Lonchura striata: one gene and its partner. The protein of the gene in region 1 interacts with the protein of each later gene in a biochemical or structural test. Links are inferred from orthologs where the notes say so. Each region holds a gene or a part of one and is shown on either strand. Other genes may lie near its edges.

What was found.
Region 2: the proteins of ANXA7 (region 1) and SRI interact in a biophysical measurement, tested with the Homo sapiens proteins (2 studies listed by BioGRID and IntAct, with this or other methods). The link is inferred for Lonchura striata from reciprocal best matches to the Homo sapiens genes ANXA7 and SRI.

What each region holds. Positions count from the first base shown.
Region 1 is NC_134609.1:12,803,759-12,811,241, reverse strand, and holds the start of ANXA7 (annexin A7), read left to right. Parts: upstream 1-4,241; 5' UTR 4,242-4,334; intron 4,335-5,798; 5' UTR 5,799-5,799; coding exon 5,800-5,856; intron 5,857-7,483. Other genes in the region: EIF3F (eukaryotic translation initiation factor 3 subunit F), read left to right, coding at 75-152. UniProt on the Homo sapiens protein: Calcium/phospholipid-binding protein which promotes membrane fusion and is involved in exocytosis.
Region 2 is NC_134603.1:135,328,360-135,335,684, forward strand, and holds the start of SRI (sorcin), read left to right. Parts: upstream 1-4,097; 5' UTR 4,098-4,196; coding exon 4,197-4,244; intron 4,245-4,887; coding exon 4,888-4,971; intron 4,972-7,325. UniProt on the Homo sapiens protein: Calcium-binding protein that modulates excitation-contraction coupling in the heart. Contributes to calcium homeostasis in the heart sarcoplasmic reticulum. Modulates the activity of RYR2 calcium channels.

The DNA of each region.
Region 1 (7,483 bases):
GTTAAAAATTCAGCTATCTAATAAGCTATGATTTGTTAATATTTCTGATCACTGTTTTTTCCCCTCCCTTTCAGGACCTACTGATGGTAACCTACTTGGCAAATCTCACACAGTCACAGATTGCTCTCAATGAAAAACTTCTTAGTTTATAAAGAAACTTTTGCCACCCTACACTTAAAGGAACCTGAAGAATGAGCAGATACACTTTTCTGTGGTGTTAGAAATTTCCTTGGACTGTAATTTAATTACCTACATGACTTGGTTTACATTGTTATTTCCACTGCTCTGAAAAATCCCTAACATGTTTTAGGAAATGAATGGGGACAACTGCAGTTCAGTTGAACCTGCTATTTTAAAATGGAATATGAGAATCTTAACATCTTGTGGGTTTGTCTACTTGTATAACAAAATACAGCTTTATTGTAAGAATGTATTTGGAATAAAAGTTCCATTGCAGTGGCAACAATGGCTTCTGTCCAGAAAAAAAACTTCCTCATTTATTGTGTAATGAATCCATTTCTGAAAGGGGGGCGGGGGGTGGTGGTAAGAGGCATCAGGAAAGAAAGCATGGATGGGAGTGAAGTCCAGTTCTTTGCAGGTTTTTTTTCCAACTGCTAAAGCACACTGAAAGTGTAGGGATTTGTTTTGCATATAATATGCTTTACCATGAAGGACTGTAGAATAGTCTCTGGTGTATTAGTGGTGCTGTGTATATCCCTTCATCAGGCTACGAAACAGTAAATTCAATTTATGGTATCACTTCTATGCATATAATTCTGATTGTTTGGGAAAGGAAGTAAAGGTCAATAGCATTAGCCCCTCATAAAGAGGGAGTTAGAGAATTAAAGCCAGCAACTGAGTTCATGGTAAAAGAGTTTGAAAAGCATTTGTGACTAAACAAGCTTGGCTACCGGAGTTTCCATCTTTGCCAAAGAAGAAAAGGACAGCAAAATGACAATCCATTAGATTTGAGGTTAAAAGTTGGGTGTTGCCAAACAGGAGTTTTCTATTTCATAATGCTGTACTGCTGCCAAAATTATGTGTAAAGAAACCTCATTTTCTCCCCAAGGTATGTTTCATGTTAACTAAGTACCAGCTGGAAGAAAGCAAATACAAATATCAGCTGTAACTTTGCACAGTCTCTGCCAATAGCATTACTTTTAGAAGGCTTACAGTTCAGCTGTGCTGAGGAGGGACTCTGCTTTAACAGAGTTAAACCATCCCTCTTCTACAATAAAACTCTTCCCTCCTTACTAAGGACTGTATCTAGTTTGGTGAATGAATTTGAAGTATCCAAAGAGTGTTCTCCAAAACTGGTAATTTCCCAGCTAAACCCAAGAAGAAGACTCAGATTACAAATCTACAGATCCTGTAGTGGTTGTTCCAATCTAGAAAGTTCCCCCAGCGACTGAATGCTAAATTCTAATTGCAAGGTCAATGTAAGTGAAAACTGAAGGTCCAGAAAAGATACTCATCTCCTTGAAAATGTTATTTTTGAGCATTAAATAAGATTAGAATTCAACTCTGTTTTTTTAATAGTCTCAATAAAAATGTTTTGCTTTCCTTTCTCTTCTTTAAACTTAATATTCTTAAATTCAGCCATTTAATGGTTCAAATTTTTCAGATCATGGTGTTTTTTGAAGAAAGTTTTGACATAGCAACCACAGAATAGCAACTTCATTTGGTGATTATTTCCATGTACTGGGATGAAGGTCACTAAATTTGTGTTTTTAGTTGAGTCACTTCAATTTATTGGCAGAAAACTTAAATCTACTGCTAAGAGGAGGTAGTGTTTCAGTGTGTGGTTTTGTGAACCTGTTGACGTACGCCACCTGTACCTGAAATTCACGGGTTCAATCCAAATGATTAAAATTGATGTGAAAACGTTAGACACACAGCCCTTCTAGAACAGTTAAGCAGCATAAGCTGCTGTTTTCCTGTGCTTTGAGGAAGGGTGAAGCTTCGGTTTCCTCACTGGGGAAGCAGAGGCTGGTTGGCAGCTCTCGAAGGGCGGTGTGAAGCCCTGATGCTCGGAGCAGGGCGGGTGGAGCACTACATGACTCAGCGGGCAGTGACTGCCTCGCCAGCTAACCAAGCACAGGCTCCTCCTGCCTCCTCCGGGAGCTGCGCTCGCTCCGCTCCCCGCACACGGAAGGTTAACAGCTTACTGCGACTGCATTTTAATAACTGCAGTCACAAGGCAGTCTAACAGGAGAAGTGGTTTTAGTACATAATGTAGACTTGGGCCACTGCAGTAGCCTGTGGGTTTGTTACACTTTGACCTATGGTTCAAAGCTGACCAGTTCTTACAACAAACTTGGGAAAAATCTTAGTTTTTAATTTAATTAGATTGGCTGGAGTCATGCTTTATATTACTTAAGTAGGAAATAATGGTCCAACCAGGACACACAGAGAAGCAGCAATTCTTTAGCTGCCTACATCACTAACAATAAATTCCTCTGAGAAAAAAGTTGTGTTTCAGCTATTTTGACAGCACTCAGCACAAATGCATAGTTGAGCCAAGTCACTCCAGACCAGAATTCTGTCCAGTACCATGTCTAGGATCAGATGCAAGAATATTACAAAAGAGAAGAACAAAGTTTGTCTCTCCACTAAACTTGAATTTTCTAATCGTGAGAAGCTGCCTTAACTCTGCATGGGGTTTTAGGAGCTTTCCTAAATGTGTGGATTCTAGGTATAAGTAGCAAGCCAAGAGATTTCCCTAAATACAGAAATTAGATGACACCCAATGGTTCCATTGCATGATTTAACGAAGTAATTCCAAACATTCTCGTTGATACATAAACATTCAATGCATTTAACAGATTCTTCAAACACATGTAATTTTGTTTAAAATAGTCTCTTCTTCCTTTTACACAAAAAGAAAGGAATTTGTTTTAAAACATTTTTTCTTTTCTTGAGTAGCTTAAGTCAAAACAGTCCACTAAATGAAAAAGAATTGTATATTTTATAAATGTACTTGGTTCCCATGGAAACAAGGATTAAAATATTTACCTGTCCTGAAAGAAATGTGCTTAACAGGTAAAAGAAAGAAGACATGCACTCGGAGTGTCAGCTGAAGAATGCTGTGAGGATTAAATTCTTAAAGCCACTCCTGATGTGTTCTGGGTAGACAAGAGAGAACAAGCCCAATTTTCCTGGATAGGTAATGTATTAGATTCATGTGGCTTTAGGTGCTCTTCATTTGAAGCAAGCAAGCATGGTAAATTATTACCCATCTATTTTCTGCTGTCTGCACTTCACACTGTTCTATGGGTAAAGAGAACAGTGGTTGTTATTTCATCTAGAACTGAAGTGCTGCACCAGGTTACAGAAAAGAACCAAAGCTGTTTGTATTGGAATGGTCTCCAAACTGCTAGCATGTCTGTCATAAACAAAAAAGGAAATGTTTTTAATAATCTAAAGTAACTGGTGCATAATATCATAGGTGAGTCCTTCATAAATAAAAGTCTTGTTTGTCAGAATGCCTTATGAATAATTAACCATCAGGTAAAGAAAGGACCACATCTGTGCAATGACTATTCAAAGTATAATATTAATAAACATTACAAAAGACAGAAACAAAACAGTAAGGGCACTCCCCATAATTACATACAAATAACTATAATTAAGATTTCTTTCTAGAAAAAATGTATGTAGTAGTCAGTCAATCCTACCTTTATGTCCTCTTGGGACTTAGATCCTGGTCTTCAGCAACTACAGCAAAAGGAGCAGCTCCTCCAGCTGCATGCAATTAGTTCTTTTTATATTCTCTGCCTGTTGCATGCAGTTCCGGTGGTGACTTGATGGACTCCCTGCAGCTACTAAACAATGATCTTGATTTAAAGACGCATGTGTTACTGAATTACAGACTTGACTTAAACCTACGCGCATTAGGGCTGAATTCATTGCAGTGGTGCTACGGGGAAACTGCAATGTGGACTTTTCTCTCCTTTTCCTAGCGGGTGGCACAGGACTCCCGCGGGACAGCATCTCCGGGCGCTTCCTGCGCGCCCGCTTCCCCTGTCACAGCTCCACTGGCCAGTGGCTCTGCGTTTGTGGCACTTGTGCTGCGACCTTACCTCCCGTCCGTCCCGAGACAGCACCTCGGGCACCTCGCAGCTTTCCTTGAGCGAGCCGAGGCGAGCCTGCACGGGCAGCAAAGGGTTCTGCGCTGACAGGGCCCTCACCATCGGCACCGGGTGCGGTGCCCCCGCCGCGGGCCGGGCGGGGCGGGCTCGGTGCCGGGGGCGGGGCGGGCATCGCCGGCCGCACGGGCTCCATTTTGCGGTGTGGCTGCGGAGAGAGGCCGGAGGCTCCGCAGGTTCCCTCAGGTGAGGTGACTGGGGGGAGGGAGGAACGGCCGCCCGCCGCTCGCGTGCCCCTCGCCCCAGCGCCCGGCCCGGCCCGGCCCCGCCCGGGGCCTCGGCCCCGGCCCCGGCTCTGCCGGCACGTCGCCCGGGGGCTCGGCCGCGGCTCCGGCTCTGCTCTCGCACCGCCCGGGGGCTCGCCCCGGCCCCGGCCCCAGCCCCGGGCGGCGCTCCCGGAGCCGCGGCCGCTCGGGGCTCGGCAGGTGTCCGGCCGAGGGAGGTGCCGCCTGTCCCAGGGAGCCGCACTCCCGGCGGGGGCTGCCCTGGCGCTGTGGAGCGGGGACGCGGTCCGGTGGCCTCGGGAGAGGCAGGTACCGGGACACCGGGGTACTTGCCTCCGTCCGCAGCTCGCCGAAGGATTCGCCGTGCCGGGCCGCGGCTGAGGGAGCGGGAGGAGCCTGGGGCGATGCGTGACTGCCCGGAGCGGAGCGGGGCAGCGCCAGGCGGGGCCCTTCAAGGCGGCGGGAGCGGGCCCGTGCTGCCGGCGGAGCGCCGGGGAAGCGTCTCCGTGCTCAGCGGCTGCGCTGCCGCCCAAGGCACGGAGCGCGCCGCTGATGTTTCACCGCGGGCCGGTGCCGCAGCTGACTCAACTCGGCCCCCGCTTTAACCCGCCCCGCGCCCATCCAGGACAGCGGGGGGAAACGAGAGTCTGACGGAAAAAAAAAAAAAAAATCTGTTGTTGTTTTCGTTCTAAAATTAGTTACGTCGAGCCACTGTTCAACTTGAGGATGCTTGTGCCAAATTTAAAGTCCATTTTTCTTCCCCCTGTCGTTAAAAGTTTCATAACCTGGCTAATGGTGTCGAATCTCCCTGCAACATGCAGGATGGGGTGATCTCTATCCCCACTCCCCAAGATCCTCTGTTAAAAATGTGACTAAAAGAAACAGTCACTTGTCAGGAAATAGAAATTTCCTCCACAAATGAAGTTATGCTGAGGGATGTTCAAGAACAGGGACCTGTTCTTCTCCAATTGCCATTTTACATGGGATAGCTCGGGTACTGCTCTTCTCCCAGGAACTACCCCTGTGAGCAGAGCAGTGCAGGATGACACATACAGGTGCTTGGTTGCAGTCCAGAAACCTGCATGGTTTCTGTCCTGCCAAAGGGTCCAAACTCCCTCCTGCTGGCACCTCAGAGTATATCTTGTATTTCAAAGCTTTCTGGAAGTTTGAGCTTCTTACTATGCGTAAATGTCTCTCTGACTTTAAATAAGGGTGATAGTAAATTGACTATAATTACTATAAGTTGAAAATGCTTCCCTTCTGAATTCTGATTGCTATGGTCAGATGTAGGAGAGAAAAAGAGGAAAAGTTCTGTGGATAAATTGCAGATTATTCAAGTAATAGATAATTAGTAAGCAAATACCTACTACAAACTCAGAGGTAGTGCTTCACAATGAAAATACCTTTTTTATTTTTTCTTCCCCAGAATGTCATACCCAGGTTATCCCCCTTCTGATGGCTACCCTGCTTTCCCAGGTTATCCTGTAAGTATGGCACTTGGATGTGTTGCATTCCTAATGCATTTCTATTCTGTGAATATCCCTTCTGACTGTGCTCCATGTGTCTGTAAGTAGTAGCTAGTAGTGAATAGTAGTAGTCAGTTCATGTACCCTGTTCTCTAGTGATTATGGTCTTTGTTTTCCTCTGTATATCTCTGGGGATGACTACAGCTGTCACACAAGAATTCCAAAAAAGACATTTAGTTTTTTTAGTGATGCCCATTGTTCCAGAAAGGTCATTGGTTTTGTTTTATTTTATCTTGTGAGCCTGTTTTTTTAAATACAGCTGTCTCATCTCAACAATTCTCTCTTTTTTTTTATTTTAAAAGTTTCTTCTGCAAACAGAAGGCCTTTTACATGTAGGGTTAGAAGCAATCTCTGAACCAATCTGTACAAAATACTCACATAGCCATATCCCAGGATTTACAGAGATGTTAAAAAAGCTTCAGTGGTCACAGCCATCAGGAAGAACTTGGAACACTTCACTCAAGTAGCCCAGCTTTCATATAACATCAAGTAATTATTTTTCTGAGGATAGAGGACACTGTGTCTTGACTACCCTATCCACAGGACTGTTCCACCTTCATGTCACAATTGAATGGACTAAAAATTTGAAGGAAACTTAATGGAAGGCTGAAATGTATCAGGTATGGCTGATACTGCAGTCTTTTTGATATGCCTGCAATATTTTCCAAAGCTAGATTGATCTCTGTGTTTTTATGGCACTGATCATGGCACTCACAGCACTTTCATGGTACTTGTCATGCTGTAATTGTGGGAGTTTTACTGGTGTTCTATGCAGTACAGAAGCAGACTTAGGCACGGATCTCAGCCCGAAAGCCTTTAAGATACTGAAAAGATACAAATATGGCAAAATATAAATATACACATATAAGTACATGCAATAAATTCTCTGATGATTTTGCTTTACACCCTACCCTTACTTCGTCTAAAAGATTAAAGTCAGTCAAATGAAAGACAAACATGTTAGAAACAAGATGATTAACTCTAGAATTTCTTTTCTTCCCTTAAGGTTCTGCTGAACCCTCATGATTTTAGCTGTAGTTCATTTTCAACTACATTTGAAAAAATATTTTTTTCTTAGCTAGGATCTAAAAAATAGCTTCAATGAATTAATTTAAAATACCTTTTAGACTTGTTATCAAGTCTCATTCCTAGTCTCATTGATGATGCCCAATGTGATAACCAATTTAAAAAGCACATGTGAAATTGTTGTTTTCTGCAGCACTGGTAGTAATCTGAGCAGGGCTTTACATCCTAAATTTGGATTATTGAATCTAAATTCCAGTAAAGTCTTTTTGTTGAGTCAGGCAGAGAAATGTTAGACTGTACCTCTGGGGAAAAGAATATTATATAGCCTGGGCATAGTAATTTGGGGGTAGAAATCTGGGGGCAGTCAAACCCAAGAACATTTGAGCTAGGCTTTTCTGCTCTGCACTTTATTCCTGTTTTCTGGAGTCAAGAATGAATGTGTACGATATGTAATGTGTGACTTGTATTTCTAAAGCTAGTCAGTAAAGGTGATTCTCAGCAAGTGAGTAATGGGTCCATCCATTATGCTTCATTATGAAGCTGATTTTGAATCCTGATT
Region 2 (7,325 bases), on another chromosome or scaffold:
CGATCCAGCTCAAGGCTTTCAGTTCAGGGTGACCAAATTCCCACATCACGTGTGAGCTCATGTCAGGGTTAAATGTACCCAGACTTAGAAGGAACAAAAGTAGAACAGATGGGCAAGCAGAAAGTCTGTGACTTGTCTTGGGTTTATGCTAGCCTTGGTTCACTGTGAGGAAGCATTGCACACATAATGAGTGTGAATTGTGACCAGAGTTTAAGGCAGTAACACTATTACTGTAGCTCAGTTCTGAATTCTTTCTTAAAATCCTACTAAAAAGAATCCAGAAAAAGCTATGGAATGAAAACTGTGCACATAATTTTCCCTTTCTAAACAAAATTATTTTACCTAGGCATTTTCTTAGAAAAATACAGTGAATTATCTCAGAAAAAAAAAAAAAAAAAAAAAAAGGCAATAGTACTAGCATCCTATGTTGCTTGACTTCGATTTTCCCACTAGAGGGATCACACACTCTTTGAGATCTGCAAAATCAGAAGCTATTTATTCCACACAGATTTCTTACTGGTGTGTTTGTAATATGATGAACTTAAGGAAATTTAAAAGGTTACCACAGCTCAGTCACCCTTCAGAAGGCAGATGTGTACTCATTAATCTCCTCTAATATCCTTCCTTTGCAGCCTTTTTCTCAGATAAGGAATAAGCAAATGCACCAGTGCAAACAAAATGCCTACCCAACAATCCATTTAAAATACATCCCTTGGTTACATCTGTCTCCTAGCTCTTTTGCTTATGTATGTTTAAATATAAATAATGCAAATGTTAACTACTAAGTGCAGTGCATTTGGGCCCCTCACTACAAGCAGGACACTGAGTGGTGGGGTGAGATCAGAGAAGGGCAACAGAGTTGATGAAGAGTCTGGAACACAAGTGTGATGAAGAGTCTGGAACACAAGTGTGATGAAGAGTCTGGAACACAAGTGTGATGAAGAGCAGCGGAAGGACCTGGGGTGATTAGCCTGGAGAAAAGGAGGCTGAACTGAGACAGAACTCTCTACAACTGCCTGAACAAAAGGTTGTAGTGAGGTGGGGGTCAGTTTCTACTTGCAAGTAACAAAAGAGGAAATAGACTCAAGTTGTGCCAGGGGAGCTTTTTGGATATTTGGAGAAATGTCTTTATTGAAAGCATTGTTGAGCTTTGGAGCAGACTGCCCAAAGAAGTGGCAGAATTACCATCCCTGGGGAAATTAAAAGACCTGTAGATGTGACAATGAGGGACATGGTTTAGTGGTGGGCCTGGCAGTGCTGGATTAACAGGTGGTCTCAATGTTCTAAGAGATATTTTCCAGCCTAAACACTATGATTCGATGAGTGCCAGGCGTCTCAGCAGAAGTACTGAAAATGGAGAGTGGCCAGTTATTTACACTGAGTTAAAGTACAGAAAAACCCTACCCCAAATTATGAAATATCTTCCTTTTTCTATACAACTACAGCTGTACAGTGTAGTGTCTTTATCTACCAACTGGTATAAATCATACCTGTTTGTTTCTCACTGAAGTAATGAAAAATTCATTCCTATTAAGTTACTAGCAATATGTATATACCATTTGAAATTTTGTTTATCACTGTATAACTCTTCAAATCTTATCACTTATATTCTTTGCCACTTATTTTTAATCTAATATTTTTATCACTGTTCCTAGGTCCTATTTTAATTAGGAGGGCTTTTTGCCTAGACTTTAATATATGTAGTTTAACAAAGTTCAGCACAGAGCCTGCAATAACCTGCACTGCACGTGATTAAGTTTGGTCAAAACAACTATCTGACAACCACACATCTTGATATCAACACTCTTAGTTAAATACCCTTGTGAGATAGGTATTTCTTAAGCCAAGAAATTATACAGGGTCACTACTTTGTTTCTCAGTTGCTTCATAGCTTCATATATGTTATTCTGTGTGATTAAAGCATTAAATAATTATTTGTCTCATTTGGCAATTCTATTGGTTATTATATTACACAGAACAACAGTTTTGTTTTCACGTCATTGGCAATTGTTAGCAGTTTTAAGGTGCAAATAATGCTAAAATAATAAAATATATTCCACATAGAAAATGTCTGAAAGTCCTGTTTACTAGATGACTTAGAAGCTGAGAAAAGTGACTCACTTTAAATGAAAAGTTTACTATAAATTAGCATACTTAAATGAATTAAGGTCTTATTCAAATTTCTAATGTTCTTCAGAAATTATGTCAATAAACAAAAATAATAAATTGTTGTGCTTCCAGATTTCTGACAGCAGACCATTTGCCCTGCAAGGTCTCTATTAGGAGACCTGTTTCAGTCATACAGACTCCAGCAACTGATTTTTCATCATCTTGCGTCTGAATTAAATAGCGCTCACTGGGAGAGGGGGGGAATTCTGTGTTTTGCAAAGTCGCAAGACCAGCTGAGACCAAGCCGTGGCCGCTCCGGCTGATGCTGCTCCCTGGGGTATTGGGCGGTCAGCGGGAGAAAACCACGGGCTGCACCGGGGAGCGCCGCCGGCCGGGAGGAGGCTCTTGCATCAAAGGCGGTGCTCTCCCGGTAATCCCCCAACCCGGAGCGGCCCCGACGGAACGCAACAGGGCTCCCTCGCTCCACTGGGACACGGCTCCTACTCCAGAATTTGGAGCTACAGACCCAAAGGAAATTATACAGATTCTTCTGTGTCTTTGGGGTCAGGGATGGGTGGTCCGGTTCTGAAGGAAAAGCAACGGTACCAACAGAGAACACGTAAGGATGAGTTTGGGATGCACGATACGGATGCACCGACTGCCGAGTCTATGAGTCTTGCGGTCTTTTGGCAAACCACGAGTCGGTGGTTCTGAAATCATCAACCGATTCACCGGTGAACATGTCGGGAGCTTTCCTGTCACCTTAGTGGGTGACAGCCGCCACGGAACACCATTTTCCGCGGAGCCCCGGGATGCGCCAGGGACTGGCTCCAGCTCCGCCTCCTCCTCCGCGGAGCGGTTCCGTCCACGGGCCTCGCCTCCCGCGGGTGTCTGAGAGCTGCTGGCCGGGAGCCGCCGGCGAACTGAGCCCGCAGCGCCGAGCCAGCGCCCTCAGCGCTGCCGCACTGACAGAGCCACTCCCCCCGCATCCCGCACTGACACAGCCACGTCCCCCGCATCCCGCACTGACACAGCCACTCCCCCTTCATCCCGCACTGACACAGCCACTCCCCCTTCATCCCGCACTGACACAGCCACGTCCCCCGCATCCCGCACTGACACAGCCACGTCCCCCCGCATCCCGCACTGACACAGCCACTCCCCCTTCATCCCGCACTGACACAGCCACTCCCCCTTCATCCCGTACTGACACAGCCACGTCCCCCGCATCCCGCACTGACTCAGCCACTCCCCCTTCATCCCGCACTGACACAGCCACGTCCCCCCGCATCCCGCACTGATACAGCCATGTCCCCCCGCATCCCGCACTGACACAGCCACTCCCCCTTCATCCCGCACTGACACAGCCACTCCCCCTTCATCCCGCACTGACACAGCCACTCCCCCCGCATCCCGCACTGACACAGCCACGTCCCCCCGCATCCCGCACTGACACAGCCACTCCCCCTTCATCCCGCACTGACACAGCCACTCCCCCTTCATCCCGCACTGACACAGCCACTCCCCCTTCATCCCGCACTGACACAGCCACGTCCCCCCGCATCCCGCACTGACACAGCCACTCCCCCCGCATCCCGCACTGACACAGCCACGTCCCCCCGCATCCCGCACTGACACAGCCACGTCCCCCCGCATCCCGCACTGACACAGCCACTCCCCCTTCATCCCGCACTGACACAGCCACTCCCCCTTCATCCCGCACTGACACAGCCACTCCCCCTTCATCCCGCACTGACACAGCCACGTCCGCCCGCCGGGCCCCAGGCAGCGCCGCGCCCCGCCCCGCTGCGCCGGGAAACGCCGCCGCGGGGCCATGGGCCTGTACCACCGCGCCGCAGGGGGAACTCGGCGGAGAGGAGATCGGAGCGGGCGGTCCCTCGCCTCCCGACGGCACCGCCCGGCACCGCCCGCTGCCCTGCTGACGGCAGGTCGCCGCTTGCCCCGCCCGGGGGGCGGCGGGACGCGGGCTCCGGGAAGGGCCGGGGCTGGAAGTCGCCGCCCTCCCTCCGTATGCGAGTGGTTGCTCCCGGGCGCAGCCGGGCCGCCGGAGCCGGTGCCAGGCGAAGATGGCGTATCCCGGGCAGCCCGCGCCCGGCGGGTTCTACCAGGGCGGGGTGAGCGGGGCCGGGCCCGCGGGGCGAGGGGCCGGCGGGGCCCGGGGCAGCGGCGGGAGCCGGGCCGGGCGCAGTCTGCCCGGCCGGGCGGGGTCCGCCAGCTCGGGGCTGCGGAGAAGGGAGGGAGGAGGCACCTCCCCCGCAACTGCTGCCGGGGAGAAAGTCAGTGCTGGGGGTGTCATTCCGTGATTTTCACTTAGGAATCGGTTTTCTTTAAGGGTTTTCACACTTAATACGTATTCTTCCATGTATTTGCCCTAGACATCTGTTTTGCTCAACTTTTCTGGAGTGGAAAAAAAATTTGTAGTGCCTTAGTGTTTCTTAAGCACGCCGTTTTATGCTGGGGGTAGAATTAAAACGAAACCTTGGTGAGATAGACCAGGCTGTATCTAGATCAGTCGATTGCTCCTGTGCAAGGTTTTACACTGATCTGCTTACATTACAATACATTATGTATTTAGTATGTCAGTACTGAAATTCAGAGTTGGTTTGGGGCATTTTTTTCGTGAGGAGTTTCGGTTTTGGTTGCTTTGATTTTTTTTTTTTTTTAAGGCATGGTGTGTACATAAAAACGTATGTTGATAAGTACAGATCCTTAACTGAATTACTGATTTAAAATTAATTTTCTTTTTTGTTTCCAAAGTATGGAGGAGCTCCAGGAGGACCAGCATTCCCTGGACAAGCTCAGGATCCTTTGTATGGTTATTTTGCTGCAGTAGGGGGGCAGGTAAACTTATAAAATGTTATTTACTTATTGGATTTTTTTTTCTTTTTGAGGAATACTCTCTATCTTTGGAAGGAGAAATGCCTAGTATTTGCAGCCCCAATACCCCAGGGAAAAAATCTGATGTTTCTAGTTAAAAAAAAAAAAAAACTGTAATTGTTTTACTTAGCCTATTTGCTATATATATATGTCTGTATTGGTCTATGTTATAGCTGTATACATACTATATAATTTGAATAATGCTGTTTGTTTCTGTATTGTATGTGCAAATACATACATACATACACAAACATAGACATGTATGCCTCTATTTCCTATATAGGTAAATGCAAGGGATATATAGATGCATGAAGTTTTGTAACTGAATTGTGACTCAGCTCTGGGCTGGTGAATGCTGCCAGGTTTAGGAGAAAGAAAAGAGAAAGAGTGGAAAGTGTGGGCTGTGGAGATGGCCTGGCTAAGAGCAGGAAATGATAACAGGAAAGAGGTCATTACATGATCTTAATAGACTCACAAATGGAAAAGCATCATGCATTGTGCCAGCATCTGGGTTTACTGTTAACATAGAGTGATTATTCTTCTAGAGGAAAGGCTTTCACAACTTTTTTTTTTTCCTTCCCTGTCATTCTGCACTGCATTTTTAATTTCTTTCCTGTAATTTTGTGGCATATATTGTTTTTGTATGATCATGTATGTTGCTAGAAATACGTGCTCTTTGAACTGTGTTACAGAGTTTAGGAGCAATTAAGTTAGGTTTATTGAGCTGAAGTTCCGTGTTTGCCATATTGTATCTATTTATTGCACACTTGTAGGGTGTGTGCAAATCTAAAATTCTGCTCTTGGATCTGCTATCCTCAGGTAGATGCAACCACAACATGAAAATTTAAATTCAGCAATACTAGCTGATGTTCAGATTCCCACCATAACTTAGATTAGTTTTGTTCTCTATGTTACTTTTTTGAATTAATAATGCATCTTGCAGTCTATATCTTACTTCCTTCTAACTGCTTATGGAAATATTTAGACCGTGTGTTTTTGTAGTAAAGGAGAACACTGGAATGACCTGTGTGTAATGAGGCTTTTCTGAGAAGGTGGAGCCCAGAGCTGAGTTCTTTCTGCTGAATGTGCTGACAATTTCTCTGCCAGCTGAGACGTGTCTTCGTGCAGGTGCCTCCTGGATGTGTGCCAGGAATCAGCAGCAGAGCCAGTAGCTGAGGCTGGACAAATTAATAAGCTCCTGTTGTAGAGAAGGGGAGGTATCAGCAAACAGGAAACAGCACTGTGGAGAAAAGGTGGCAGGAGCTGGATTTCAGCAAAACACAGACCATGCCCAGCTTTCTCAAGTGAGGCATGGATACTGGAAGCTGGGGAACCAGTGGGTTGATGGATATGATCAAGTTAGCACTTAAGAATACTTAAGTTAACACTCTGAAATGCTTTCTATTTGTAGTAATTATTCCTTACTGAAATGAACTCAGTAGCTTTTTAAGTTATCCTTGGAATCTGAGGTGTCTGTTTCTGGTACCAGTGGCTGTGCAGAAGTAAAAACCCCTAAGGAGACAGTGAAATGTAACAGATAAATTATCAGTTGCTTTTATGGCCATCCATGCACCTTTGTAAAAAGCTACATCTCAGTTATCCATCTGTACTTACTGTAGAAGGCGTATGTTCTGGTTATGGTTTGCTGCTGTGTTGTTTTTATGCCTATATAATATCTAATGTTTTATCTGAGCTTTCTTTGATGTAGTTTACAATAGAGATCTTGTCTTTGACTTGATGAATTAGTTTTCTTTGTTTACAGAAGAAAGTCACCAAGTATTGTTTCAAATTCAAATTAGAGTCTGAATTTGTAGGACGTAATAATTTGTTTTTTAACCTGTTTGCAAAGCTCATATGCATTGTCTAATTTAACCTGCTTATGTTCTACTAAAAAAAAAAACAAAAAAAGACAAGCATATTTTTGGTAATCTTAATCTTGATTACAGTCATGCTTTTCTATCTTCCTCTATTTTAAAGCTATGCAGTTCCTATCTTTATTTCAGAAGGTACAAAGCCTTTGAAGAGATTAGTTTCTTAATATTAATGGCTATTTCAAATCTCTTTCCCCCCTCACCCCCCGTGAACATAAAGTATAAAATACAGCTGTATAATTAGATTGATGGAGTAGATAGGAAGCAAATTCAGGTTTATCTGTCAGTAACTTTACATGGAAACAAAACATTGTTGCCTTTTTTTCCAGTCCCTGTCAAAAATCATTGAACATAGACTTACTATTTGTCTTGTAAACAATGATACTTAATTTCTGAAAGTTATCAGGCTGTGCTGTTCCCACCATATCATTTAGTAGCATATCTCTG